Macaca fascicularis: one gene and its partners. The protein of the gene in region 2 interacts with the protein of the main gene of each other region in a biochemical or structural test. Links are inferred from orthologs where the notes say so. Each region holds a gene or a part of one and is shown on either strand. Other genes may lie near its edges. The genes, in order: PDK1, RPS6KB1, MTOR and RPS6.

What was found.
Region 1: the proteins of RPS6KB1 (region 2) and PDK1 form a complex in vitro, tested with the Homo sapiens proteins (2 studies listed by BioGRID and IntAct, with this or other methods). The link is inferred for Macaca fascicularis from reciprocal best matches to the Homo sapiens genes RPS6KB1 and PDK1.
Region 3: of the proteins of RPS6KB1 (region 2) and MTOR, one has a biochemical effect on the other in vitro, tested with the Homo sapiens proteins (18 studies listed by BioGRID and IntAct, with this or other methods). The link is inferred for Macaca fascicularis from reciprocal best matches to the Homo sapiens genes RPS6KB1 and MTOR.
Region 4: of the proteins of RPS6KB1 (region 2) and RPS6, one has a biochemical effect on the other in vitro, tested with the Homo sapiens proteins (4 studies listed by BioGRID). The link is inferred for Macaca fascicularis from reciprocal best matches to the Homo sapiens genes RPS6KB1 and RPS6.

The regions. Positions count from the first base shown.
Region 1 is NC_088386.1:68,100,395-68,107,971, forward strand, and holds the start of PDK1 (pyruvate dehydrogenase (acetyl-transferring) kinase isozyme 1, mitochondrial), read left to right. Parts: upstream 1-3,019; 5' UTR 3,020-3,150; coding exon 3,151-3,346; exon of another isoform or gene 3,347-3,463; intron 3,464-3,490; exon of another isoform or gene 3,491-3,869; intron 3,870-5,686; coding exon 5,687-5,828; intron 5,829-7,577. UniProt on the Homo sapiens protein: Kinase that plays a key role in regulation of glucose and fatty acid metabolism and homeostasis via phosphorylation of the pyruvate dehydrogenase subunits PDHA1 and PDHA2.
Region 2 is NC_088390.1:46,750,193-46,757,236, forward strand, and holds the end of RPS6KB1 (ribosomal protein S6 kinase beta-1), read right to left. Parts: intron 6,848-7,044; coding exon of another isoform or gene 6,827-6,847; exon of another isoform or gene 6,248-6,826; intron 4,736-6,247; coding exon 4,623-4,735; intron 3,600-4,622; coding exon 3,362-3,599; 3' UTR 1,955-3,361; downstream 1-1,954. UniProt on the Homo sapiens protein: Serine/threonine-protein kinase that acts downstream of mTOR signaling in response to growth factors and nutrients to promote cell proliferation, cell growth and cell cycle progression.
Region 3 is NC_088375.1:223,563,017-223,570,060, reverse strand, and holds part of MTOR (serine/threonine-protein kinase mTOR), read right to left. Parts: intron 4,016-7,044; coding exon 3,829-4,015; intron 2,560-3,828; coding exon 2,431-2,559; intron 1,439-2,430; coding exon 1,194-1,438; intron 1-1,193. UniProt on the Homo sapiens protein: Serine/threonine protein kinase which is a central regulator of cellular metabolism, growth and survival in response to hormones, growth factors, nutrients, energy and stress signals.
Region 4 is NC_088389.1:79,493,968-79,501,595, reverse strand, and holds RPS6 (small ribosomal subunit protein eS6), read right to left. Parts: upstream 4,771-7,628; 5' UTR 4,730-4,770; coding exon 4,724-4,729; intron 4,175-4,723; coding exon 4,043-4,174; intron 3,460-4,042; coding exon 3,249-3,459; intron 3,069-3,248; coding exon 2,922-3,068; intron 1,201-2,921; coding exon 1,043-1,200; intron 936-1,042; coding exon 840-935; 3' UTR 802-839; downstream 1-801. UniProt on the Homo sapiens protein: Component of the 40S small ribosomal subunit. Plays an important role in controlling cell growth and proliferation through the selective translation of particular classes of mRNA.

The DNA of each region.
Region 1 (7,577 bases), on a different chromosome or scaffold from region 2:
CAATGGGGAATGCTGATTGGTTGAGTCAGGAATAAAATTATAGGAAGTCGAAGCTGTCATCTTATGCTTAGTCAGTTTCTGGGTGGGGGCCACAAGACCAGATGAGTCATTTTACTTATCTGTGTGGTTCTACCTGGTCCATTGGAATTCAGGGTTTGAAAAATAACTCAAACACCAACGTTAGGTTTTATAATAGCAATGTTATCTATAGGCGCAATTGCGGAGGTCAGTGATCTTGTGGACTCTGACTGCATGACTCCTGAGTTATAATTTCTAATCTTGTAGCTAGTTTGTTACTTATTTTTTGAGACAAGGTCTCGCTCTGTCACACAGGCAGAAATGATGCAGCAGGATCTTGGCTCACTGCAAACTACACCTTCTGGGCTCAACTGATGCTCCCCACGAAGCACTACAGGCACGTGCCACCATGCCCAGCTAATTTTGTTCATTTTCTGTCGAGACAAGGTCTATGCTGCCCAGGCTGGTCTCGAACTCCTGGACTTATGCAATCCTCCCACTTTGGCCTCCCAAAGTGCTGGGATTACAGGCATGAGCCATTGTGCCCTGCCTAATTTGTTAGTTTAACAAAGGTGTTCCGGTCCCCAGGAAAGCTGGGGGTTTGTTTCATGGAGGAGCTGTTATCTTTGTTTCAAAGTTAATATATAAACTAAATTCCTCCCAAAGTTAGTTTGGCCTATGCTCATCAATAAACAAGGGCAGCTTGGAAGTGAGAAGCAAGATGGAGTTGGTTAGGTCAGATCTCTTTCACTGTCAGAATTTTCTCACTGTTATAATTTTTCAAAGGCAGTTTCATTCACATGGTAGAAGAGATGGTAGAAACAGACTCACCCTCTTAGGCCCTTTTATAAGGCTCTGCCCTCATGACTTAATTCCCTCCTAAAGGCCCCACCTCTTAATACTACCACGTGGATAATTAAGTTTCAACATAGGAATTTTAGGGGACACATTCAGACCATAACAACAGAAAATATAGCTCTTTACTAAAGTCCTCAAAAGTTCTCTCCAGTTTCTGGACCCAGAGTCTTTGACTAAGAAGCAAAAGTTGACATCACTTAATATGTGCTTTTATATGCACATTCTCCATATATTGGTTGAAGCATGGTGAATATACTTTGGAGAAAAGAAAAAGCACTTTATACAACAGTTGATTCCTTCCTGGGGGAAAAAATCTTGCTAAAATAGTCTCAAAGTTTCTGCTGGGCCTTTGTGCTTTCACATAAATTAATGTTCAGCCGAGCATCTTGACATGCTCAGGCAGAAAGCAGCAAAATTGCAAACAGGGATTGAGGAAGCTGAATAATGGTGTGCATGATAAAGTGACAAGACTTTGGAGCTCAGGGAATAATCTAGAAGGAAGGAGAAAAGAAAGGAGGAGGCAACCTGAGAAGCTGGAGTAGAGCTGTGGAAATGTTTGATGGATTGTTTTAAGAACGTGTAATATTCAACTTAAAATTGTTTTCTTCATTCCAACTTGGGCACTGCAGAAGAAGGGTGGGAAGCAGAAGGGGGCCATTCAGCCACCAATGAGGTGGTGACACCATCAACATTCCCAAGCACATCCCATTGAAATGGACTTCAAGAAGTGTGGCCTTCGGGCACTCAGCAAAGATATCTGGAAATTTGCCAAGAAAGAGATGGGAACTCCAGAGGTGCACACTGATACCAGGTTTGACAAAGCTGTCAGGGCCAAAAGAATAATGTCCCATACCGTATCCACGTGTGATTGTCCAGAAAAACATAAGGAGAATGAAGATTCACCGAAATGTGAAAGGAAAACATGGGCCCCAAAATCACTGAGCTAAAGGGAAAATTCAAGCTGGGAACTGCTCGAGGCAAACCTGCCTCCCATTCTATTCAAAGTCATCCCTCTGCTGAGATAGATGCATATCTGATTGCCTCTTTTGGAAAGGCTTAGAAACTCAAGACTGCAACCATTTGTCTCACCTACCTATAACCTGGAAGCCTTCCCCCCTGCTTCAAGTTGTCTGCTTCTTACATATAGAGACGGACGTGTTCTCAACTTTGCCAAGATAAACTTTATACATTAATCGAGACTTGTCTCTTACTTTCGGGGTTCACAAAACTATGTACCCGTTACACTTTCTAAAACCTACAGTCAGTGTGGGAGAAGAACTGCTGATACTCGAATACGTCAAATAGTTACAAAACGGCCAAAAACTGTTGTTTTCTCTCAAACTTTTGGTAAAATGTGCTTCAGGGAAAACACAGGTAAGTGGTTCTGATAAAATCTTAATAAGGACATAATTTTAAAAAGCAATAATGGTAAAAATAAATCCCATTTATTATCTGGTATGTCCCCGGCATTGTGCTAACACAGATAGCTCTACTACCCATGTCAGAGCAACTGAGGCAGATACTACGCTCCTTTTTCAGGTAAAGAGATGGAGGCTCAGAGAGGTTAAAGAGCTCAACTCAAAGGCACACAGCCAGTACATGGCAGTACGTCTCTCCTCCTGGGGCCGCCGTCTCGGTGATACTATTTAGGGCCACACGTCCCACTCTTCAGCATTCGTATTTACGTACCACTGTTTGGCAAGCGGGGACTCCTGAAGCTCTCTGACCCTGAAATGTGTGGCTTGCGTCACAGAGAAGCGGTTTTAGAACGCGCTCGCAGCAGGACACCGCGGTGTGTGCAAGCGGAGGGCCGCCCTGTCCTTGAGCCTTTTGGCCGAGACTAGGAGGGCAGAGGAAGCAGGAAGGTGGGATTTGTTTCAAAAGGGCGCGGGAAGGGGACGCTCCACACCGCCTCGCCTCTTAGTGTCCCCGGTCCCGTCACCTGAAATGTACGGGAACAACTGCCACGCGCACCCCACACCTCGCCGGCTGCGGCCTGGCGCGCGCTCCTCATCTACTTCCCCGCAGGGCTGGGCGGGAATCCGGCGAGGGGGCGGGCCCCGCGAGCGCCCGCCCCCTTTTCTCTCCCCGCCTCCTTCCCGCTCTGCATCCCGCCCAGCGGCGCAGGGGGCCGGGCTCCGGCGAGAGGGGTGGGGGCCGCGCCGGTGACAGCCGCTCCCCTCCCCTGCTGCCCGCCACGTCCCTCACGTACCACTCGGCAGAGGCGCGGGGAAACGTGGCGCCCGGGCTCTGGCTTCTCTAGCGGGGCTCGGCATGAGGCTGGCGCGGCTGCTTCGCGGAGCTGCCTTGCCCGTCCCGGGCCCGGGGCTGCGCGCCGCCGGCCCCAGCCGCTCCTTCAGCTCGGACTCGGGCTCCGGCCCGGCGCCCGAGCGCGGCGTTCCGGGCCAGGTGGACTTCTACGCGCGCTTCTCACCGTCCCCGCTCTCCATGAAGCAGTTCCTGGACTTCGGTGAGTGCGGCCCGGACTTCGGGCCTTTGTGCGCGGTCCCAGGCGGGGAGCTGCGGCCCCTGCTCCAGGCCCGGTCGGTGCCGGCCAGCTCTCGCCTGAGGCGCAGCCCTCCTCCTCAGTGTTTCCGCCCCCAGCGCCTTAGGTGCTTCCTTCCTCCAAGTGCCGGCGCTGGCTGACGGCGTAAATAACGGTGGGCGTGTGGCTTTGATCGTATTGTTGAAAACAAACCAGCTGGGCCGCGCGGAATGACCTCCCGCCTTCCGGCGCACGTGTGCAGGTGCGCGCTCGGCCAGGCCCCTTCCGAGGAGGCGCGCCCGCGTGGGAGGCCGAGCGTGGACACCCCCGAGGATCGCTTTTGGATTCCGCGCAGTGATGATGAATGCCCAGTTTTGCATATGCTGATTGCATAGAAATGGCGTGATGATAGGCAAGGCAGGTTATAACTGGCCCAGAGTTTCTTAGAATGTTTTCCTTGCCAGTAGCATAAATTGTTTGCACCAACAGCGCATTTCATCATCAGCAAGTAAGTCTTGAGCACGTGTTGAGTGCATGAGGACAGGATGCTGTGAAGTTTACCAGATTATCCTTGTTTTCTCGATAAGCTGTTAAACAGATTGCAGAAGGAATTGCATAGTTAGGCATTTTAACTTTTACTTCCCACTTACCTATCAAGGCAATGAGGGGAAAAGGGAAAACCTTAATGAATTCATAAAATTTGAGTACAAAGGTTATCTTCTGCATTGTGACTTCTGCATTGAATGATACCTGCATGGTTGACAACTTTGTCTTAAAACTGTGGTTTATAGTCGCATAATTTTTGGGTCAAAGCCTTAGGTTTTTGTTTTTACTTTAAAATGACACTAGTTCGACGTAGGGGCGAATTTGGTGGTGGTCATAAGTATGCCATGAAACTTTCACAAGCTGTTTTCCTTTAATAACTTAATTTCTACTATTGACAGTCTAGTTTTTGCTAACGTTTTCTCTGCTAAAGCAGCAAGAATAGTAAGCTTAAAATGCATTACTGGAATAGCAAGACCTTTTAGTTTAATATTAAGTGGAGCTGTTTGCCAAAGGACATTCTACAACGATTCTGCTTAGGAAGTGATATGGGATCGTGATATGGGAGTGGAGGGGTCAGGAGACTTTCCAGTAACCAGACAATTGAATAGGACCTACTTGAAGATGGTGCTAACAGGCAGTGGTGGTTTTTGCTTTCTGTTGCTTGAAAGCTTTCCTCTGCACTTACTCTTTTTTCCCGTGTGTGTGTGTGTGTGTGTGTGTATTTTTTAAAACTAGAAATGGGGTCTCGCTATGTTGTCCAGGCTGGTCTCAAACTCCTGGGCTCAAGCCATCCTCCCAGCTTGGCCTCCCAAAGTGATTATAGGTGTGAGCCACCACACCTGGACTCCACTTACTCTTTGCTTACTGTAATTAGCATTTGTGGTTCTATATGGAATCAGTGAATCTTCATATGCAAACATCAAAATTTTACTCTTTTCTTTTTGATTGAGACAGGGTTTTACTCTGTCACCCAGGCTGGAGTGCAGTGGTGCTATCATAGGTCACTATAACCTCACTTTTCTGCCTGAGCTTCCCAAGGCTAGAATTACAGGCAAGCACAACCACGCCCAGCTGTTTTTTATTTTTTATAAATACGAGGTCTCATTGTGTTGCCCAGGCTGGTCTTGAACCCCTGCGCTCAAACAGTCCTCAAGCCTCGGCCTCGCAAAGTGCTGGGATTATAGGCATGAATCACTGTGCCTGGCCCCCTGTTTTTAATTTATTTTTTTAAGGCTAGTCAAGTGAAACAGTGGGAGTGGAGAAGGAACAAAGAAATCTGTAACTGGTCGTAATCAATTAGTCGTAAATACCACTGCATTCAGACCACCTTAAAGTTTCTGTTTCTTAGACATTAACTCTTTTTAAAACTAGAGTTAAAAAACAGATTTTCTAAATGATAGCAGCAACAGGGTGTACAGGCTAGACTTTTCCAGGTTCTGCTGTTAATTTTATAAAGCCTTGCTCAGAAATGCTCAGTTTACCTCACTTCTAAAATGGGTCATCACTATAAGGATACAAGTTAGGGAGACAAGGTTATCGTAATTGCTGTACAGAGCCATTGGAATGTCAGTAATTGGAATGTCATAACTCTGGAGACTGGGTTATCTCATCCCTCACCTCCCACAGGCAGGGATACCTTTGCCTTCTATTCCTTGCCCCATCGTGGTGATTCTACCCCTCTGGCCTTGCCAGGTAACTGCCTCTCATTTCTCCCTGCCTCTTGCCTTCGGTTTCCTTATGGCTTTTACTTACTGCTTTACCCATCATGTTTGGTTTCAGGATCAGTGAATGCTTGTGAAAAGACCTCATTTATGTTTCTTCGGCAAGAGTTGCCTGTCAGACTGGCAAATATAATGAAAGAAATAAGTCTCCTTCCAGATAATCTTCTCAGAACACCATCCGTTCAATTGGTACAAAGCTGGTAAGATTCTCATCTTGTGTTTACAATTTGATGGAGTTGTGGACTCTATTCAAGGTTACGGCAAATGCTTTTTTTACTCTTCAGTGGAATCTTTTTTTTTTTTTTTTTTTTTGAGAGGGAGTCCTGCTCTTAGGCCAGGCTGGAGTGCAGTGGCACAATCTCAGCTCACTGCAAGCTCCAGCTCACTGGTTCAGGCAATTCTCCTGCCTCAGCCTCCCGAGTAACTGGGATTACAGGCATATGCCACCATGCCCAGCTAATTTTTGTATTTTTAGTAGATACAGGGTTTCACCATGTTGGCCAGGATGATCTCGATCTCCTGACCTTGTGATCCGCCTGCCTTGGCCTCCCAAAGTATTGGGATTACAGGCATGAGCCACCATGCCTGGCCAGAATCTTAAGGTAGTAGCAGTATTCTTTTTTTGTCTGGGGGCAGGTGGGGGCAATGTATTTGGGCTTGTGCCCTGAATCCTGGACTCCACAACTCCTTGATTTTGAGAAAACCAATTAGAACTGCACTGAAATACAGATGCTAAATTTAGGATTTATGTTAGTATATCTGCAAGGATATTATGAGAAAAATGTCTACAATTTGTTGATGACTAGGTATTTATGTATATTGCCTTTAATCCCTTTAACAACCTTGCACAGTAGGTATGAATCTCTCCATTTTATTCATTGTTGTTATTTTTATTTATTTATGTATTTTTTTTTTTAAATGGAGTCTTGCTCTGTCACCCAGGCTGGAGTGCATGATCTTGGCTCACTGCAACCTCTGCCTCCTGGGTTCAAGTAATTCTCTTGCCTCAGCCTCCAGAGTAGCTGGATACAGGCACCTGCCACCACACCCAGCTAATGTTTGTATTTTTAGTAGAGACAGAGGTTTCACCATATTGGCCAGGCTAGTCTCAAACTCCTGACCTCAGGTGATCCTCCCACCTCGGCTTCCCAAAGTGCTGGGATTACAGGCGTGAGCCACCGCTCCTAGCCCGTTTACTTATTTTTTTGAGACAGGTTCTTACTCTTACTCTGTCACCCAGGTTGGAGTGCAGTGGCGATCACAGCTCAGCTCACTGCAACCTCCACCTCCCTGGCTCAGGTGATCCTCCCACCTCAGCCTCCTGAGTAGCTGAAACCACAAGCGCGTGCCACGCCCAGCTAATTTTTGTATTTTTTAGCAGAGATAGGGTTTTTCCATGTTGCCTAGACTGGCCTCAAACTCCGGAGCTCAAGGGATTTGCCCACCTGGGCCTCTCAAAGTGCAGGGATTGTGGGCATGAGCCATTGTGCCCAGCCTGTTTATTATTTTTAAAATGAATTTATTTTCTTTTTAGAGACAGGGTCTCCGTCACCCAGGCTAGAGTGCAGTAGTGTGATCATGGCTCACTGCAGTCTTGACCTCCTGGGCTCAAGAGATCCTACAGCCTTAGCCTCCCGAGCAGCTGGGACCACAGCCATGTGCCACCATACCTGACAAATTCTTTTATTTTTTGTAGAGATGGGGTCTCACTTTTTTGCCCAGGCAGGTTGTGAACAGGGCTCAAGCAGTCCTCTCACCTTGGCGTCCCAAAGTGTTGGGATTACAGACATGAGCCACTGCACCTGGCAGGTTTAACTCTGTTTTACAGATGAGGATGCTGAGGCACATAAAGGTTAAATCTTTTGCATAAGGCAGTACCGTTGATAGTGGAGTTGGGATTCAAACTCCCATTTGTCCATCTCTGCTATACCATTCTATAGTCAGAACAA
Region 2 (7,044 bases):
AGTACTGTATTAATCAGCAACAGACCACAGGTTATGTGTGACAAATACTTTTGTGATAGTTTGTCCAGCTTGCTAGTGTCTACTCCTGTGAAAAAGGTAGATGTTTGGACATTGATGTTTTTGAAAAATTAACCATTTTCAAAGCCTTAAAATCTATTTTTCATAAATTCAACATTTCTCAAGGGAATAATCTTAGATCTAGCCCTTGTAAGCTAGGAACCATACGATTAACTGAATATTCAAAATAGGTCCTATATTAAATATATAATCCAAGGCTCAGTATATTAATACTATCTAAGATGCATCTTGTTTATAATCATTTATCACCTATAGTAAAGAATGTTGAATTTATGGAATATCATACATGCATCCTCCACCCCTCCCCTCAAATTATCTTCTATCTCAAAAAATAGTATGGAAAAATCCTTCTTGAAGGATTCAAATTAGTTAAGACCATAAAAGGGGAAAAAGGAACGTAATTTTCCTAAAAATCTGGTTCAAAGTTCAATAATTAATACTTTACATTGTTAATCACAGCTGGTTTATAAATCCCAGTTTAGTTACTCTGTAATGCTACAAACCTTATAAAATCAAATTAGTAAACTTCAATTCAGTGATTATATTTTAATTAAAAAACAGCATGTATAAAATAAAAAAATATCCTGTAATAGCTGATTTTAAAGAAAATAATCAAGTGATGAAAAAAAAGCACTTAATCTCTTTTATACACTTACCTGGTATAATCATAAAGAACCCTCTTAGAAACTCAAGACTAGTAATATCGACATCATATTTTAAACTATGCTTGGAATTTTACAAATAAATATAGATAAGCCATATTGCATAGGTGTGTGCTTTCTGTCTGTGACACTAATGTGACACTTGACATGTTTTCACAGTCATAGTAGGGATATCCATTTATGAAACAAGTTCTCAATAAACTTTCCACAGCATGGGAAATAAATTTCACTTAATAAATGTGAAGTCAGAAAAACTATATATTTGTGTGGATGGTAGCTGTGCAATTAATGCTTTTTATGCAGAAAAGTTGCAGTGTTTGCCACTATTGCTGGCACTACTAATTATGAAAATGGTTTAACTGGGGTGGTTATAGCCAACCAATCACAGTGCTCATGTTACTAGCAAATAGGACCTAGGAGGAATATTTTGGTGTATAAGTTTCACTGGAATTTGGTCAGGCAGTCAACACTACAGTTAGTAAACATATTTGAAAACAAGTATTAAGAGTATCACAAGCCATTTACAGTCTGAAATAATGCCTGTACATATCACCATAGCTTTTCGGGTTCTGTTTTTTCAGATATCACAAATTGTCAGAGAACAAGGATCTGCACTTTAAAGTATAATTTCTGCCCTTAATTATTATTGTAGCTTCTAATTTACCAGCAACAGTCATAAAGTTCTCAGTAGGCTGCTGCAATAAGGGAGGAGGGGTAAGAGGGAGTGATTTTTTTAAAAAAGGCTTTCTGTCCAAAGATGAGCTTTTATCTATTCTTTCAATTATTGCCACAATTGAAAAGGTATATTTCCAATCATTTTTCATGGTTCTGTTTTTGCTTACTGTCATAGGATTTCATCCCATCTCATTTGGGTTGCAATTTCAAAAAGCAAAGCCTTGCTCTTTTCTGACTGAATTCAACATGCATAAAGAATTTTATGGCTTGGATCCTATGGCTCAAAAAGGTTTGAAAACATAGCAAGCAGCATCTATTTAAAAAAATCCTAGGGTTGCAAAATACTACAAATTGACTTTGCACACTCAGACTGAAGACATTATAAAAGACAAAGAAAAACAGGTGATAGAACTCAACTGCAACTGCATGATTATCTATTATACCAGTATGCACTGAAATATATTTTTATAAAGCTCTGCAGATATTAAACCCTTTCACCAGCTAAAGTCATGGAAATGCTCTCTTTAAGGCAGGAAATATTTAAGAAAGGTAAAGTTACCTTTATTTTTATTCTTTGTACCTGTAAATCATTTATGTAGATTTTGTTACAATTTCAAAAACATAGTGTCCTGTTAACATGTTTCCTAAATTAAGTCACTAAGTTTTCTTATTTACTGTGGAAGACATTCATCAAAAGGCCATCAAATATTTTTACAATCAAAAAATGTAGCCCCAGTATAGGAGAAAAAAAAATAGACCTTTTTTTCTTTTTAAAACTGTTGAGGAAAAAATATAAGGAAAGTAGACAGCAGAAACAGTAGAAAGAAGTAAAACTGAAAATCTTACCAATTTGCTGTAAAGAGATTAGACAGAGAGTGGGCCACAGCAACACCCTCTTCCCCTGGATATCCCTATCTCCCTCACCTTGCCGACCGCAGTATGTATTTTTTATCCTGACTCTCTTTTGTTGTTCTTCAGCCAAAGGCTGAGCACATTTGGCGTCTTGAACCAAATACTGGTATAAGAACAGGTGGCGATTTTTTTTCCAGTGCAATGCAGGCCCGGGACAATGATGAAATGTAGGACATACAACTTATGCCCATTCCAAGGCTTCCAGTTAAGCTTAGCACATAGCAGTACTGCAAGTAGAAATGATTAAATAGATTCTTTTTTGTTTTCTCATATTACAGACAGGTATTGCAGCTGGGTTACTGAAAATAAACCCCAGGTCCACCCCAATCCCTCAAACGAGCCACAGCTGTGGTTAACAATGATTCATTTGCATTTTATTATTTCACCAAGAGAAGAAACAGAAGTTGTCTGGCTTTCTTCACACCAACCAATAATTTCGCATTTTAAAGTTTGGGATGTTTTTCATAATGAGCTGAATCAAAAATCTATTTGAAAAATATATATTTATATAAAAAAAAGATTCAGGTTGTTTGCACGTAAAACATCAATTGGTAAGTTTCTTTTGTCTTTGATTCCAAGTTGCTGGAAAAAGTTTGACCAAGCTTGCATGCTAATTTGTCCTTAGTTGCAAGTATTATAGGCAATTTTGTACTTTGCCTAATGAAAGGATAACCCTTCTTTGACACAATCAGAACTCAACAGTGATTCAGAAGCAACATCCTACCCTTAATACTGTCAGTTTCGAGTCATCAACATGAAAATCCTTGATAAGGTTGAGAAGATGTCGCGAGGAATCAATTACTTGATGTGCCTAAGAGTTCAGCAATACTATTTTGCTTTAAGTTTTTTTTTTTTTTTTGCACCATTGATTGATTTTTTAAAATCCATGTTTATTTTTCCTCTGTCCAAAGTGTTCTATGTAATGACACTGACTCTCTGAAACTGTCATTTTGAGTCTTGTTTCACTTTGCAGGATGCTCACACATCGCCCTCTCCACCTTGTTTGCCTTAAATTCATTAAAAGCATTGCTCTGTCATAGATTCATACGCAGGTGCTCTGGCCGTTTGGAGATCATGGGAAAAGCTTGTTTTTTGTATGGCCCAGAGTTCGGCTGTCGTATTGGAAGTGGTGCCGATGCTTCCCCACTCATTGTCACATCCATCTGCTCTATGCCACTTGTTTCCATTGGGTATTCCACAGGTGTCTGAGGATTTGCTGTGCTGGCCGAAGCACCTCTTCCCCAGAAATCCCCAGGAGAAAATTTGACTGGGCTTTAAGACAAGGAAGAGCTATCATTCATTTGTTTAAGGGTCATCTCAACAAGACATATTTCCTTTACATTTAAAGGGAGTGGGGTAATATGACATTTATTTTCGTTTAATTTTATTTGCATGTGGATTAGCACAAAGGCAAAAGTTGAACCATCTCTCGCCCGCCTAGATTAACTGCTAGAATTTCCTAACCAGTCTCTACCTCTACACCTGACCCCCAAACCCCTCAATGATATATAAATACATATTATATATATATATCATTTTACTCTCCCCTGCTCAAAACAGCTTTCTACTGCATTTAAAATAAAATCCTTTTCCAAACCTCTGCCCTTCTCCTCCTCACTCACCACACACTCCAGGAACAATGATCTCATTTCCAGGAAAAGGACAACTTTTCTCCTCCCTCAGGGCTTTTGCATTTGCTGTTCTTCTGCCTGCAACATTCTTAAACCTTCTATTTTTGTAGGGCTGGCTCTTTCTGTTCACTGCTAGATGTTACTACACCAGGGAGGCCTTTCTCTGACCACTGTGAGTAGAAGCCCCCTTGTTTTTCCTCTGCTGTCTACCACTACATTCCTTTCCCCCCCCCTTTTAAATTATAGCACTTAGCACTACTTATATTTTTGTATATCCTTTGTCTATTGTGACTCTCCCACTACATTGTAAGCCTCATCAGGACAGGGACAATTACTGTATTATAGTACTATACACACACACACACAGAACATGCAGCATGCAGTGCTGGTGCTCTTGGTGCACAATAAATGCTGAGTGAATGGATAAAGAGAAACATTTGCCAGTGTGGCTGCTTACTTTCAGGAGGGAAGGTAAACCATATAACATCACAGATTAGTCAGACTAGTCCTTTGCAATGTGAGATACAGATGTTGTGCTTATGTCAACCAAAGAGACCATGACAGTCCTTCATTTATGTAACTTGGCATAAATTTCTTAAGCAAACACTCTCACTCATAGGTTGTAATAAAAAAAAAAAAAAGTGAAAATAAGAGTGTGAAATACCTGACAGGTGTTCGTGGGCTGCCAATAAATCTTCGAGGTGATCGGATTTTTGGTTCAAAGGAAAACTTTTCTTTTACACTTTCAAGTACAGATGGAGCCACATATGTAAAACCCTGAAAGACAGTAACAGTGGACTACAGAATGGCGTTTTGCCATATATCTCAAGAAAATGGGGTTGTTCAGTCTGACATACCTACACAATGATGCACACCTAAAGCCACCAATGTGTACACTCTCCCACATCCTCAACCTCATTTTTAGACCTGTTAACTTCCTTCCAGCCATTTTGTGAGGCACACACTTCAAGAACAGAATTCTATTGAGCCTGATTGCTAGCAAACAAAATTCCACCCTACTGACAGGAACAGAAAAAAAAAACAGGAAAATTCAGGCTCCATATGAAGATGTTAAATACGGCCAGGCACAGTGGGTCACGCCTGTCATCCCAGCACTTTGGGAGGCCAAGGCGGGCAGACTACCTGAGGTCAGGAGTTCAAACCAGCCTGGCCAATGTGGGGAAACACCGTCTCTACTAAAAATACAAAAATTAGCCATGCATGGTGGTGCACGCCTATAATCCCAGCTACCTGGGAGGCTGAGGCAAGAGGATCACTTGAACCTGAGAGGCAGAGGTTGCAGTGAGCAGAGATCGCAACACTGCATTCTAGCCTGGGCAACAGAGCAAGACTCCATCTCAAAAATTAAAAAAAAAAAAAAAAGATGTTAAATACTAGGAGAAATATAAAGAAACTTCTAGTGTTTCTAGCCACAGGCATGTAAGCAATTAAGTTTATCACCCCAAAACAGTTTCTCATAATTAGGCCAAAGTAAAAACAATTTTCTGACTTAGCATCAAAGTCAGATCTTGTGATCTTTCTGGTTTTATGCCAATGATTAGACAGAATTTGTGTTTTGTTTTAAGAGATGGGGTATCCCTATATTGCCCAGGCTGGAGTGCAGTGGTGATATCGTAGCTCACTGCAGCCTCAAACTCCTGGAGCCAAGCTATTCTCCCACCTCAGCCCCTCAAGTAGCTGGGACTATATAGGCATGTGTGATCTCTGCCCAGCTAGAATTTGGTATTTTCTTGATGAATAAGTATCAACATTTCAAAACCTTTCAGTTGTAATAGGCAAAAATGCAGTTCTGTTCATTTTAGTTCTCTCTTGGACCTTACTATTAGGCTACCAGCTGTCATTTCTCTAGCTGTCAATGTTCATTCTTTTAACCGTCTTCACCTATCTTCTATTTATCAAAATCTATGAGTAAGCATTATGTGTTACAATAAATAAGACTCAACAAAGCTCTGAGTGAAGGCCCAAAGAGTGAGGTGCAATTCTGAAGTGCATATGAATTGTGACAGTTATATGTGAACTTCAAAAAATAACTTTACAAACGTTCTAGTGAACTAAAGCTGTAACTATCATGAGGTACAGGCTGTGCCTTAATCATCTTTGAATTTCCTCTAATTATGTGATGGAGTCTTACAACAGGAATTGAATATTTGTTGAAATGAGGTTGCTAGAACCACATTATCCAGATAAGTGGGATATCACTATATATATGTGTGTGTATATATATGTGTGTGTGTGTGTATATGTGTGTGTGTGTGTGTGTGTATATATATATATATATATTTTTTTTTTTTTGAGATGGAGTCTTGCTCTGTCGCCCAGGCTGGAGTGCAGTGAGGGGCATGACCTTGGCTCACTGTAACCTCCACCTCCCAGGTTCAAGCGATTCTCCTGCCTCAGCCTTCCCAGTAGCTGGGACTACAGCCACCACGCCTGGTTAATTTTTGTCTTTTTAGTAGAGACGGGTTTTCACCATTTGGCCAGGCTGGTCTGGAACTCCTGACATTGTCATCCACCCACCTCAGCCTCCCAAAGTGCTGGGATTATAGGCGTGACCCACTGCGCCCAGCCTATTTTTTTATTAATGTTTAAAGAGATCTACTTTATGTACAGAATTCTGGCTACAACCTAACAAATGAATTGTTCTGTTCATCAGTTAGCCAATTTAAGTAATTATGAAAAGCTCAATAATACCGTAATTGGCAATGAAAGCTTCAATATCTCACTTTTACCGCCACAACTTTGGATTTCTTGGTAGCTAAATAAAATGCTTCTATTTTGTGGGTGAAAAACTGTCACATAAGTTGAAATTCTGCAATGTCCAATTGAGGAAAAGGTCTCTATTTTAAATCAAAGGTATAAATTCCACATCTGTAGTACATGAGAGAAAAAAAAAAAAGCCAAAATTAAAGTGATTCATGCCCACTTCCCTAACTGAACCTAAGATTTTACTAACAGAGATGCCGTAACTTTGATCATGCACCATCAAACTTGAATTTAAAACCATGCATGTACTCACTCATCTTTTATCTCTTATGTAATTAATACTGTAAGATTGTATTTTTGCC
Region 3 (7,044 bases), on a different chromosome or scaffold from region 2:
GGGCTTTCAATCAGCAGAAAGGCAAAAGCGGGTGGTGAAGGAGCAGGGAAACAGATCAAAGGTATGCCCCAATCCTAGCCTTTTTATATTCCGTTCAAATAATAAATTATTTTGCTTTATTCCAACTCAACCCCTTACATTCTTAGAGGATAATACAATTCTTGATCAAATTTACCTTGCCTGTTTTAGTTCCCAGATTTAAATACCAGACAAAGAATCTATGTAGGCTGGGTTTAAACATAGCTACTTTCTATTCACTAGAAATAAATTATCACCAGTGTGAATCAATGTTAAGTGGAGGAACTGCAATAGAGAAACCACAGGTGGCTGTCTCCAGACAGCATGTTCAGGCTTTCTGTACTTGCTTGTTTCTCTACAGTCTTGACCAATACTACCTATATGATCTTAAATTTCAAAAGTATCAACTTCTCCTGAAATATATCTCTGTGGGGTATTATTGTGGGTTTATTTGCAGTTTAGAACTACACAGTACAGTACTTTTAGAAATCATACTGCCAGCCGGGCACAGTGGCTCACGGTTGTAATCCTAGCACTTTGGGAAGCCGAGGCAGGCAGATCGCTTGAGGTCAGGAGTTCCAGAACAGCCTGGCCAACATGGTGAAACTCCATCTCTACCAAAAATACAAAAATTAGCTGGGTATGGTGACACGCACCTACAGTCCCAGCTACTTAGGAGGCTGTGGCTGGAGAATCGCTTGAACTCAGGAGATGGAGGATGCAGTGAGCTGATATTGTGCCACTGCACACCAGCCTAGGCAACAGAGAGACTTTGTCTCAAAAAAAAAAAAAAAAAAGAGAAAAGACACCATACCACCATAGACATGGAAACACCCAAAAGCCCCTGCTTATACATTTTAAAGCAGTACATATCATCTCAGCTACAAGGAAGTGAAAAAGTGGGGACATGAGGGGGATCTGTCTCTGCAGCATTATTTCCTTGGATCAACGTATACTTTCCCTCAAACGATCTGCCCCCAAACTCAGTATGGGACAAAGAAACAAACAGGAATTACCAATATATGGAAAGAGTCTAGGAAGGATGAGCTGCTACAGAATCAGCTACCCTGTCTCTGGGATCACAGCAAGATCCAGGAAGTCTAGATACTTTCATTCCTTTCCCAAAGTTTCCAGCAGCTCTCACTACCTTGCCAAGAGACATTGTAATTTCTTACCTTCAAATTCAAAGCTGCCAAGCGTTCGGAGGGCAAGAGTGATGCTGCCCACATCGCTGGCCTCAGGGAGGGTTGTGAGGCCAGGAGAGGCCAGCTGATGGGCCAGGCCCTTAGGCATGCCTGGGTGGCGGAGTGGTTTGTGCATAAGGACCAGGGACAGCATTTTCAGTAGCCCATCTTGAATGTCCTTCTTTAGCTGTGGAATCTGACGACTCAGGTCGTAGAGCACTGCAGTGAGGGCAGGGCTGAGGGGAAGGAAACAAGCCACATAAGGGCTGGGCACATGACACTTAGTCTGTTCTTGGGAAGAAATAGCTTTCTCTCCTAGCAAGCGGATCAGGCCTCTGTTCTTCAGAGTAGAAAGGATATTATAAAATAAGAATAAAAGTGTAAACTCTCTTGGCTTAGTCTCAGGTATCCAAACAATCTGTGAGTTTCTGGTTCTCACCACAAAAGATTTGCTCACTATAATTCAGCCACTACAGAAGACCAAGTCTCAACAAACACTCTGGGAAGCAGATTTAAAACACTGTCCTTATTTTACAGATGAGGAGAAATTAGTTTAGGAAGCTTAAGCAACTTGCTCAATAATATATACAATATTTGCAAATATTTATTGAGTACTTCCTATATGCCAGGCATGGTGCTAAGAGTGACTATATCATGAACCCACAGCAACCCTAGGCAATACGAATTACTATTGTACCCACTTTTCAGATTAAAAGAAAAAAATGAGGCCGGGCACGGAGGCTCACACCTGTAATCCCAGCACTTGGGAGGCCGAGGCGGGCGGATCACAAGGTCAGGAGACTGAGACCATCCTGGCTAACATGGTGAAACCCCATCTCTACCAAAAATACAAAGAATTAGCCAGGCGTGGTGGCAGGTGCCTGTAGTCCCACCTACTCGGGACACTGAGGCAGGAGAATGGTGTGAGCCCAGGAGGCGGAGCTTGCAGTGAGCTGAGATCGCGCCACTGCACTCCAGCCTGGGCGACAGAGCGAGACTCCTCAAAAAAAAAAAAAAAGAGGCTCAGAGAAATTAAATAACTTAGTCAAGATCACATAACACGCTAGTGATGAAACTAGGATTCAGTACTAGCCTATGTGTTTAGTCTAAGCTATCCTGTCCATCCAACTGAAAGTGCAAACAACCACGCCTCACTCTTTTAACAGTCCCAACACTGGGGGCCAAGCCGCACATTGATATAGGGCAACCTCAGGTTTCTGACACCCACCTTAGTCCTACTGCCAGCATGGGCTCCAGCAGCTCCTTGATATCCTGCTGGATGCTTGGCCCCATTGCTCGAGCCAGCATGCTGATGCAAGTGAAGACTGTGGCGTCCACCTGCATTGCCTTCTGCCTCCTGCAGAGAAACCAACAGTGGCTAGTTGAGACATAATGACATTCTTTAATGTCCCACCTCAAAATCACCTTGGGGCAAGGAGAACAGGTTACTCAGGCAGATGGGCGTGCAAGCCGTCCACAGCACAGTTCAAAGGGGCCCATCACATCACAGTGACTGTAGATGTGTATGTTTCTACAACAATCCAGCAGATGGCAGTAAAGTGTCTTAAGGAAGGGGCCCTTTTTCCGAATTCACACAGCTGTACCATATGGATTAGTGTGGTGCTCACCAAGATACTTACGTAGGAAGGGAGATGAACAATGTGTTCATCAGGGACAAGAAGGCAGTAAACAGCCATCGTATGGAAAGAAATTCTTCTATGATGAGAATGCGGGGCTTTAGAATGGAGCCAGGCGCAGTAGCTCACGCCTGTAATCCCAGCACTCTGGGAGGCTACGGTGGGTAGATCACTTGAGGCCAGGAGTTCGAGACCAGCCTGGCCAACATGGTGAAACCCTGTGTCTACAAAAAAATACAATAATTAGCTGGGTGTGGTGGCACATGCCTGTAATCCCAGCTACTTGGGAGGCTGAGGCAGGAGAACCGCTTGAACCCAAGAGGAGGACGTTGCAGTGAGCCAAGATTGCGCCACTGCACTCAACAAAGTGAGACTCTATCTCAAAAAAAAAAAAAAAAAAGAAGAATGAATGGGGTGTATTAATTCACCACAGCAATCTTCACTAATAAACAGGGAAGTATAAAGACAACCCTGAGACAAAGGGTGAGGAACACTGACCCCCCGCCTTAGCGAAGACACCCTGGCCACTCCATCTGGCAGGACGCTGAGGGAGTTTCTCATAGTGTATTCTCCAGAAGGTTTAAAGAGGTGGAATAACGTATTCAACTTCAGTGATGAGGAAAAAGATGACCCTTAGGTCCCTTCAGTTCCAGGAGAGGATTCCTCTCTTTAGGTCTTATATCAAAATAAGACTTTTAAAAGCCAGAGAAAAAAGCAAAACTAGCAGATTCCCAGTAAATAATAACACTGAAAACAGCATTGACATCTCACGTGTTCTCAGGGTATTCAACCTCCCCAAATAGTTCATATATGTTATTTCATTTGGAAAAGCTTAGAATTCAACTGAGGAAGGGCTGTTCTTCATATGATTTGCTATACCCTGGAGTTGAATGTGCAAAAAATGGCTTAAGCTCTGTGGATCTGGGATAGAGCGTCCTTCCTCTCCAACCGAATGAAGCGGAAGGTGAAATCATAACAGAGGTGCTTACTTATGGGCGAAGTCCTTTGGGGGCAGGGCCGCTCGGATGATGTCCAGCACGCGAGGCAAATAGACCTTAAACTCAGACCTCACAGCCACAGAAAGCAGCCCCAGGGCTTGGAAGGCTGCTGTACGTTCCTTCTCCTTCTTGACACAGCTTAGGACATGGTTCATAGTATCTTGGAGGTACTGAGTATCTGAGTACAGAAAAGACAAAGTAGATAGCTCCAGGTCAGGGTTAGGGTCTATACATCAACAGTCAAAGGTCCTATAAAGCAATTCAGTTTAAGAATAAATTAAGAAAGTTGCCAGTGGCTCACGCCTGTAATCCCAACACTTTGGGAGGCCAAGGAGGGAGGATTGTTTGAGGCCAGGAGTTCGAAACAGCCTGGGCAACACAGCAAGACCCTGTCTCTACAAAAAATAAAAATTAGCCAGGTGTGGTGGTGCACGCCTGTAATCCCAGTTACTCGGGAAGCTGAGGCAGGAGGATCGCTTGAGCCCAGACGGTTGAGGCTGCAGAGAGGTGTGATCATGTGCAGTGCTGCACTCAAGCCTGAGTGACAAAGCAAGACCCTGTCTCAGAAGAAAAAAAAAAAAAGAAATCCAAAACACGTAAAAGGTTGCCAAAACAGTATCATGTAATTGTCTCCATTACTGTTACATTTTGATACAAGAATTACATGCTCTTGCTTAAGAAATATATGTCAAACATTGTTTAAAAACAGAAGATCTAAACAATTTTACATTATAATGAAATCTGAAGTACAGTCATGGGCCAGGTGCAGTGTCTCACACATGTAATCCCAGTACTTTAGGAGGCTGAGGAAGATCACTTGAGTCCAGGAGTTTGAGGCTGCACTGAGCCAAGAGCCATGCACTCCAGCCTGGGCGACAGAATAAGACCCTGTCTCAGGGCCAGGCTGGTGGCTCATGCCTGTAATCCCAGCACTTTGGGATGCCAAGGTGGGTGGATCACCTGAGGTCAGGAGTTTGAGACCAGCCTGACCAACATAAAGAAACCCCATCTCTACTAAAAATACAAAATTAGTCGGGCACAGGGGTGCATGTCTGTAATCCTAGCTACTCGGGAGGCTGAGGCAGGAGAATCACTTGAACCCAGAAGGCGGCGGTTGCGGTGAGTCGAGATCACGCCACTCCACTCCAGCCTGGGCAACAAGAGCAAAACTACATCTCAGTAAAAAAAAAAAAAAAAAAGACCCTGTCTCAAACTAATAAAAACCCAGTACAGGGCCGGGCACAGTGGCTCACGCCTGTAATCCCAACACTTTGGGAGGCCGAGGCGGGTAGATGCCTGAGCTCAGGAGTTTGAGACCAGCTTGCACAACATGATGAAACCCCGTCTCTACTAAAATACAAAAAATTAGCCGGGCGTGGTGGCGTGTGCCTGTAGTCCCAGCTATTTGGGAGGCTGACACAGGAGAATCGCTTGAACCCGGGAGGTGGAGGTTGCAGTAAGCCAAGATTGTGCCACTGCACTCCAGCCTGGGTGACAGAGCAAGACTCTGTCTCAGAAAAACAAACAAACAAATAAACAAACAGTACAGTCTTGCGCCACTTAACGATGCTTATGTTAACAATGGACCACATATATGATGGTGGTCCCATAAGATTATAATACAGTACATTTTTGCGTATCTTTTCTATGTCTATGTTTAGATACACAAACATTTACCACTGTTTTACAGTTGCCTATTCATTACAGTAACATGCTGCACAAGTTGTAGCCCAGGAGCAATAGGCTATACCATAGAGCTAGGTGTAGAGTAGGCTACCTGGGTTTATGTAAATATATTCTATGATGTTCATACAAGGATAAATTCTCCTAAGGACGCATTTCTCAGAATGTATCCCCATCGTTAAGTAATATATGACTGTAATACTGAACACTGTTTGCAATAAACAGGCCATTCCATTCAGCTTAGGCCTAGAAATCATTTTGCTATTACCTAGAGATTTTTGTGACAGTTATATTTAATAGAAGATTTAGTCTGTAATTTGGAAAGCCACATGTATATTTTCATTAAGTTTACATAAGCCAGTGTGCATGGGTAGGCGATTCTCGTACAATTCAAGCTAAAGTGTTATTTCTCCTCTGAAAGCTGGAATTTCCTGATTCTTGCTTCTTGTCTATTCCTTCTTTTCCATTGATGTTGGTCCCCAGTATAGGCACCAGTAGTACACATAAAGTAGGAGAGAAGCGAAAACCACACATCCCTTAGGAAGTTAGGGGTGTTGAAAGCTACCAGAACCACATTTAGACAGTGGATTAGACTCCTAAAGCAGCACATATCATGACTGCATTTACTCTGAGAAATGTTTTCTCCCACGGCTTTTGTGGTCAAATGACAATGAGGCATGCTGGGGCTTGAAGACAGATGACCAAGGCGATACAACCCTAAAATAAGAGTGAGTCAACAAGAAAAACTAGGGGGATAGCATTTCGGCAGGAAATGGGCTAAAATCAAGAGTATAATTTCTTGGCAAGGCGCCACAGCTGTCTGTAATCCCAAGCACTGTGGGAGGCCGAGGCGGGAGAATTGCTTGAGCCCAGGAGTTCAAGACCAGCCTGGGCAACACAGTGAGACCCCCATCTCTACAAAAAATAAATTTAAAAAATCAGCCAGGTGTGGAGACTCACGCTTGTGGGCCTACCTACTTGGGAGGCTGAGGTGAGAGGATCACTTGAGCTCAGTAGGTCATGGCTGCAGTGAGCTGTGACCGCATCCCTGCACTTCAGCCTGGGAGACACAGCAAGACCCTGTCTCAAAAAAAAACCCAAGAGAGCATAATTTTCTTTTCTGGATTTAACACCCTGAGAGATTAGAAATCTGACTTTAGAGATTCCAGTTCAGTCTTGGGAGTATTTTTTGTATTTCTAAAGCTTATACCACTGAGAAGTTTAAGCAATAACTTCCAAACTGCAAGCTTTAAACAAATAGTATTTATGCAATGAAGCGAATACTTATAGGGGGTGCCCAGGCTGAATGTCACTGGCATATTTTAGCAAATTTAATAAAACAACTTTGACTAACCTTAAAAAAGAGAGCAACAACAATAACAAACACCCACATCAAAAGCAGAAATCTAGGGCCCTCCGAGCCTTTGTATCCTGCTGCTAAGCAGTCTTCTGAACTTACAAGGGTAACATGCCAGACTTTCATCAAATTTGGCCTAGTTATTAGTTTCTTTTGAACCACAGACT
Region 4 (7,628 bases), on a different chromosome or scaffold from region 2:
TCCAGGGACTGGCATTACTGGCCTCACACCTGGGAGCTTTTTAGTAATGTGAAAATGTGGGTCCCCACTCCTCTATCTGCGCCTTAACCAGACCCCTAGGTGATTAACATGTACATTTAACATTTAGTACTCTGCTTTATAAAGCTATTACAGTAGTTCCAACAAAGAGCTTGCATTGCTTCAACCTTAAAGCCTAATGTGCCTTCTTGTAAAGATCCTGATACTGTCAGGATAGTTAGAATAGAAACTATTAGAAAAAAATACATGCTTTGTGCATTTTTCACTGATCCAAGAATGTTTTTAGTCATTTCCTTTTCAGTGTGTGAAACAGCCTAACAATTCACTGGAGTTGAAAAACTCTGTTAAAGCAAATTTGAAATGGTTTAAAAAACTTCATTTTAAGATGGTATCCACTAAAACTATGGCTTAAAAGTTACCTTTTCTTCAAAAAAGACATGTTCATCTTCACACAGTCAATTTTCATGTATTAAATTGTGTATAGTGTTTTAAAGAGCTATATTCCTCAAAATAAACTATATGAAAAAGATTAATAGTCCTCATCATTTCCCCTAAGTTCAATGCCATTCTGAAGAGGCAGATGTCTTATGCTCAGAATCCCTTCCTGTGCTACCCATCCCCCAAAAAGAACCCCTTTACATTGACCTTGTCTTCCACTACCACACAATAGGTCTGATTATATCCACCATTGGATTACCATATACATATCCCCATTTTCTATGACCAACTTTCCCTCTCTTCATTTATGTAGTTTTCTGTCAAGCAATGAAAAGTCAACAGAGATCCGAGTCTGATCTTATTTATTTGTTACTCAAAAAATCTTATTTCTGACTGGATTCAGACTTAGAAGTAGAAGCTCGCAGAGAGGAAAGTCTGCGTCTCTTTGCAATTTGTTCCTGGCGCTTCTCCTTAGCCTCCTAAACAAAACAAAAAACAGCATATAGTTAAGGCCTTTCTGGGGTAAAGATGCAAATCCAAAGCCAGGTCGAACTCCTCCCACCCCTTCAAATCATCTTACACTAACCTTCATTCTTTTGGCCAAAAGTTTAGCATATTCTGCAGCCTCTTCCTTGTTTTTCTTAGTACGCTGCTTCTTCAGAGCAATACGCCGCCGTTTGTGCTGCAGGACACGTGGAGTAACAAGACGCTGAATCTTGGGTGCTTTGGTCCTAGGTTTCTTACCTAAAAATTCAAAGGACTCAATCATTTCAACTGTTTTGTTAGAATCCACATCTACTTTAAAAACATCAGAAATGAACGTAAGCTTCATCAACAGCATCTATGAAAACCTGTATTGAGGCCTTTAAAATCAAATCAGAAGTATTTTAAAATACTTTTTGCTCCTCCACAGAAATCTAGAAGATGGGTTAAATATAAAAATATAAGGGAAACCAAGTGCTGAAAAATAACCAAGCTAACCTTTACTACCTTCCAGTTTTACTAAAATACAGTGGCATTATGTTAAAATATAACTCTGCATAGTCAATTTGTCTGTGAAAACCACTTAACATAGTATTTACATAATCATCCTGCCATACTTTTAAGTGTAAGTTTGATGTAAGCTTGCATCTCTATTTCCCTTGACAATTCCTGCCAATTCAGGGGTAACGTAACAATTAACATCAGATTATGTGACATGTTGTTAAAGTATCTTCATTAATCTGATCTGTACTCCAAAACTGCTCAGACTGTAGATTTGCATTGGAGCACAGGCTGTTTCATGAACACTCGTGGGAGTTTAATTGCCTTAGGCTAAATGCTCAGATGTTCAGGTTCTGCTAATATTTCAGACTCCTACTATAAACACAGGAACCATCTAAAAATACCCATCAACCACACCACGCTTTTATTATTCTGATTATTTCCAGGGCTGTGATTATCGGCAACTGCCACCTATTTGTCAATTGCTTTTCTTTTTTTTTTTTTTGCAATGTCAGCTTCATTAGGGTAGGAATTTGTCTATACTGTATTCTCAGCACCTTGAACAGTACCTGGTGCTCAAATAATTGTAATTACTGACTTAACAAACATGTACTATATATGCCATGTACAGGTGTTAAGTCACACCAGTCCTGAAAAAACAAAATCCAGAGAAATTCTTTCAGATTTTGTCAGGAAAACCCAACCTTGACTGACATGCTGTTTATTCTATTTAACATAAACATTCCCAAATTTCACTACAGAAATACTGTCATTTGAGGTCCTCACTGGTATGTTGTCTAATATATTGACACAAGTTCTTAAAAGGTAAAGCTCCAAAATCCCTAACTCCCACTTCCTAGTATTCTAAGGTCTCTAACTTCTAATTCTTACAACTCTTAACAATTGTTATCCATATCCTACAGATGAAACAAAAGTTTAAAGCAACTTCTTTAGTAAGCCAAAAAATAATTTAGGGTTGGGTGTGGTGGCCTGTAATCCCAGCACTTTGGGAGGCCAAGGTGGGAGGATCACTTGAGTTCAAGGGTTCTAGACCAGCGTGGGCAACACAGTGTGACCTCATCTCTTAAAAAATATTAACAGTAATAATTTAGAACATCTGATGTAAAATTACAAAGTGTGTGGTGGTGAGATAATAGTTCCAGAATTCTCAAGCATGTGACTCCTAAACCAGATAGCAATGACCTTAAAGTCAGGTTAGTTTTGGATAAATGTATACATCAAAGATTCACAGGCAGATTTTCAAGGAAATTACTGCACTCTACAAGGCACTGGATATAATAAGCAAGGATTAATACCAAGTGGGTATGCTGGCCACCCCCACATATTTTTTGTAAAAATTCAGACTCCAGGTGAAGAATGCTAAGGCTCCAAAGGCACATTTTTATCTTCTCATATGCACACAAAATGATATTGACAAATCACCAAAATTAAGCAAGCCCTAATTGCATAATCCCTCCTACCTTCTTTGTTTAAGGGCTTTCTTACAACATACTGGCGGACGTCATCTTCTTTAGAGAGATTGAAAAGTTTGCGGATTCTGCTAGCTCTTTTGGGGCCCAGGCGGCGAGGAACTGTAGTATCAGTCAGTCCAGGAATATCCTTCTCTCCTTAGAAGACACAATTGAAAAGATTTTAATTCAACAACTTCCTTAAGAATCCTAAATCAGAATATTTAATGTTGAATTGATGGTAAAGAAACAAATCCATTGGATACTGCAAATGAATAAGCATTTGGACAACTGGCTTTACATCAATTTCAATGAAAATTGAACACAAGTAACCCTCACCTTTTTTTACAATAACCAAGTTGAGAACGCTCAGATTGGCATCCACAATGCAACCACGAACTGATTTTCTCTTTCTTTCTCCCGTTCTCCTTGGTCTGTAACAGGAATGCCCCTTACTCAGTAGCAGGCGGACACGGCCATGGGTCAAGACACCCTGCTTCATGGGGAAACCTTGTTTGTCGTTCCCACCACTGATTCGGACCACATAACCCTGCAAGAGCATACAATGAATGACACATTTACTATTTCTATTCCAAAATTATACAATACAGGATTGTGACCTCTGTGAACCACACCTATATGAGAAAGTATAATTCATTATGAAAACCAATTTAAACTTAAAACTTAAGCACGTTTTCTCTGATCAGTAAGTTTTGTCTACATTCCCAACTTATCAAGTTCAATTATCAGATGTCTTTCATTCAAGTCGCATTTCTAACCGATGTTTTATTAGAAATAACAGCACTAGGAAGATAAAATATCAAAGAGCAACAAACAAATCAGATACAATGCGTCTTCGCACTTTGGAGATTATGAGGACAGCTATGTGACATCTGCCGAATGCATGATGCATGGCAAGAATTACGTTGATGTAAACTTTACGTATATTTTACGGCTTACTCTATGTCTCCCCTCCAAGGTAACAGCTCAACTTCATAAAGTGGCATTCGGAAGCAACTTACCAAAGGTCAGAAGCCAGAACCCGCAGTCTGAACCCCATTCCAAATACCAATTACCAATGGCGTTTACCGTCTGACTTCAATAGCTGCAACAATTTGATTGTTAACTTTTACCTTCCATTCTTCACCCAGAGCGTCAGCAGCAACTTCTGTGGCCATACGCTTCTCATAAAAAGTACGAAGTTTGCGTTCATCGTCCACTTCAATGAGTTTCTGGCAGCCAGTGGCTGGGAAGGAGATGTTCAGCTAAGGATTAAAAGGGAGGGAAATAGTTTACGAAACTACCTACACAGGTAATTGTAGAGCCATCCACAAAGTTAATTCCACTGCAAAAAGCCTTTCATGTTGCCTCCACACAAGCAGGAAATATGAGATGCCGACCGTACTCACTAAAAGCACGTGAAAGCACAGTAGCAGTCAAGAAGCGCCGCACTCAGGAGGACGTGTTCCCCTCAAGCCCCGCAGAATGACTCTGGGGGCGAGGGCGCTCCGCAGCTGTTCACCCTCCCGAAGCAAGAAAGCCGGGGTCAAGAGCCGCACCACAGGCCTGCCGCAAACTGGGCAACACGCCGGGACGCCACCATGGCGCTCCCGGCCCGCCGCGGCTCCAGCCGCAATCGCCTGCCATCCGCTCGGCCAAAAAGCTCCATGCCCCAGAAAAGCGAGCCTTCTCCTACTTGAGACCCTTCTCCACCTAAAGCCAGGATCTTGCAGTGCTGGAAATGAGGCAATGCCGCGTTCTGGGACTCGATTCACGTTCCCCAAACCAGTCTAACACTCGCCACCACCACCTACCTTCATGTTGAAGCAGCTGAACGCCTCCGAGGCGCCACGGAAAAGAGGACCAACTTCCGCTTAGCGCAAGTCTCATAGGCGCTTTCAGTTCTCGCGAGATGAGCAGAAGTACGGGACAGCGGAAGTAAGCACGGGTGGGCGGCACTTCCGGGGTTGAGTTGAATCAGGGTCTGGGAGGTGAAGTTGGTTGCCAGTGGGTGTGAGGTTATGCCAGCAGTGGTGGTCTGGTAAGGCGAGCCCGCGTGTAATTCTGAGGGTTAGCCCCTTCCCTGTCTTGTCTTTTCCACGCTCCCTGGGTTTTGGAGCTGGGTGGCTCACGCCTGTAATCCCAACATTTTGGGAGGCTGAGGCGGGCGGATTATTTTAGGTCAGGAGTTCGAGACCAGCCTGGCCAACATGGCGAAACTCCGTCTCTAATAAAAATATATAAATTAGCCGCGCGTGGTGGGGGGGGGCGACTGTAGTTCCAGCTACTAGGGAGGCTGAGGCACGACAATCGCTTGAGCCCGAGAGGCGGAGGTTGCAGTGAGCCCATATCGCACCACTGCACTGCAGCCTAGGCGACAGAGGGAGACTCCGCCTCAAAATAATAAAAGTTCGAGTTCCAAATCAAGTAAACAAGAATAATGTTTACTTTCTAAAATTATCACATACCATCTTCCCACTTTAGTGTCACACAGGTTTGAGTTTAGGACTGTTTCACGTTCGAAGTTGAACGACTCTACTGAATCCGCTTTGATCATCTCACATTAATTCGTGGAATCTTGGTGAAATGATGCTTTTTAAAATCTGAGTACTGTATGTAATTTTTTTGTTAAGGTGAAATTGACACAACCAGTCATTTTTAAAGTGAACAATTCAGTGGCATTTAGTACATTCACAATGCTGTACAACCAGCCTCTCTATCGATACAGTTCCAAAACATTTTCATCATCCTAAAAGAAAACGCTGTGCCCCGTTAAGCGGTTGCTCCCCCTTCCCCATTTCCACCAGGCCCTGGCAACCACCAATCTGTGTCCTGTCTCAGTGGATGTGCCTATTTCACAAAAATGGAATCATACAATATTGACCGTTTGTGTCTGTCTTACTAATCTTTTGAGTCGTAGCATGTATCAGTATGTCATCCCTTTTATGGCTCAATATGCTAGTGTAGGTATAGACTGCAATTTGTTTATCCATTCATCCATTAATAGACATATGGGTTGTTTCTACCTTTTAACTATTGTAAATAGTTCTTCTATGTATGAGTACTTGTTTTCAGTTATTTTAGGTATATACCTAAGAGTGAAATTGCTGGGTCATACAGTAATTTTATTCTCAGGGAGAAACGGAAACTATTTCACAGCAGCTGGACCATTTTACATTCCCACCAGCAATGTATGAGGGCCGCAGTTTATCAAAATCATGGCCAACACTTTTTTTTTTTTTTTTTTAATTTTTAAAAAATGTATTGTAGAGACAGGGTCAAAGCGAGATCCTGTTGGTCTGGAACTCTTGGCCTGCAGCATCCTCCTGCCTCAGCCTCTGGAGTAGCTGCGACTCATAGTGGTTTCGATTTGCATTTCCCTAATGACTAATGATGTTGAGCATGTTTTAATGTGTTTGTTGGCCATTTGTATATCTTCTTTAGAGAAATGTCTGTATAAGCTCTTAACTCTCCCTGTTTTTTTCGCCCTAATTATTTTTATTGAAGTAGTGGGAGTAAATTAATGTGAGGCAAAGACAAAGTCTAGAACCACGGGCTAGGTTTTTTTGTTTGTTTTTCCCTTTAAAAATATTTTAGGGTGGCCAAACTCAGTGGCTCACACTGGTAATCCAAATGCTTTAGGACGCTGAGATGGGAGGATCTCCTGAGGCCAGGAGTTTGAGATCAGCCCGGGCAAACATAATGACACCCTGTCTTCAAACCCTGACACCATTTTGAAGTGTACACTTCAGTAATGTTAAATATATTAACATTGTTGTAAAATAGATCTCCAGAACTTTTTCATCTTGCAAAACGGGAACTTCATACTCATTAAGTAACTCCTTTCCCCCTACCCACAGCTTTTGGTAACCATTCTACTTTCTGTCTCTATGATTTTGACTAAGTATCTCATATAAATGGAATCAAACGGTAGTTGTCTTTTTGTGACTGGCTTATGTCATTTAACATAATGGTCTCAAGGTTCATCCGTGTTATAGCATGTGACAGGATTTCCTTCGCTTTTAAGGCTGAATAATACTCTGTTGCATGTAGATACTACATTTTGTTTAACCGTTCATCTGTCATTGGACATTTTGGTTGTTTCCACCTCTTGGCTACTGTAAATAATGCTGATATGAACATAGGTGTGCAAATATATCTTAGAGACAGACCCTGTTTTCAATTATTTGGGATATCCAGAAGTGGGACTGCTGGATCATGTAGTAGTTCTATTTTTAATTTTTTGAGGAACCTCTATACTCTTTTACATGTGACTGTACCAATTTACAATCCCACCAACAGTACACAAGGGTTCTTTGCCTTTTTTTTTTTTTTTTTTTTGAGACGGAGTCTTCCTGTGTTGCCCAGGCTGGAGTGCAGTGGCACAATGTCGGCTCACTGCAACCTCTGCTTCCCAGGTTCAAGCGATTCTCCCACTTCAGCCTGAGTAGCTGCTGGGATTACAGGTGTGTGCCACCATGCCCGGCTAAATTTTGTATTTTTAGTAGAGATGGGGTTTCACCATGTTGGCCAGGATGGTCTCAAACTCCTGACCTCAAATGATCCTCCTGCCTTGGCCTCCCAAGATGCTGGGATTACAGGTATCAGCCACTACACCAGGTCCACACACTTTTTTTCTTTTTTTTCTGAGACTGAGTTTCGCTCTTGTTGCCCAGGCTGGAGTGCAATGGCGCTATCTCAGCTCACCTCAACCTCTGC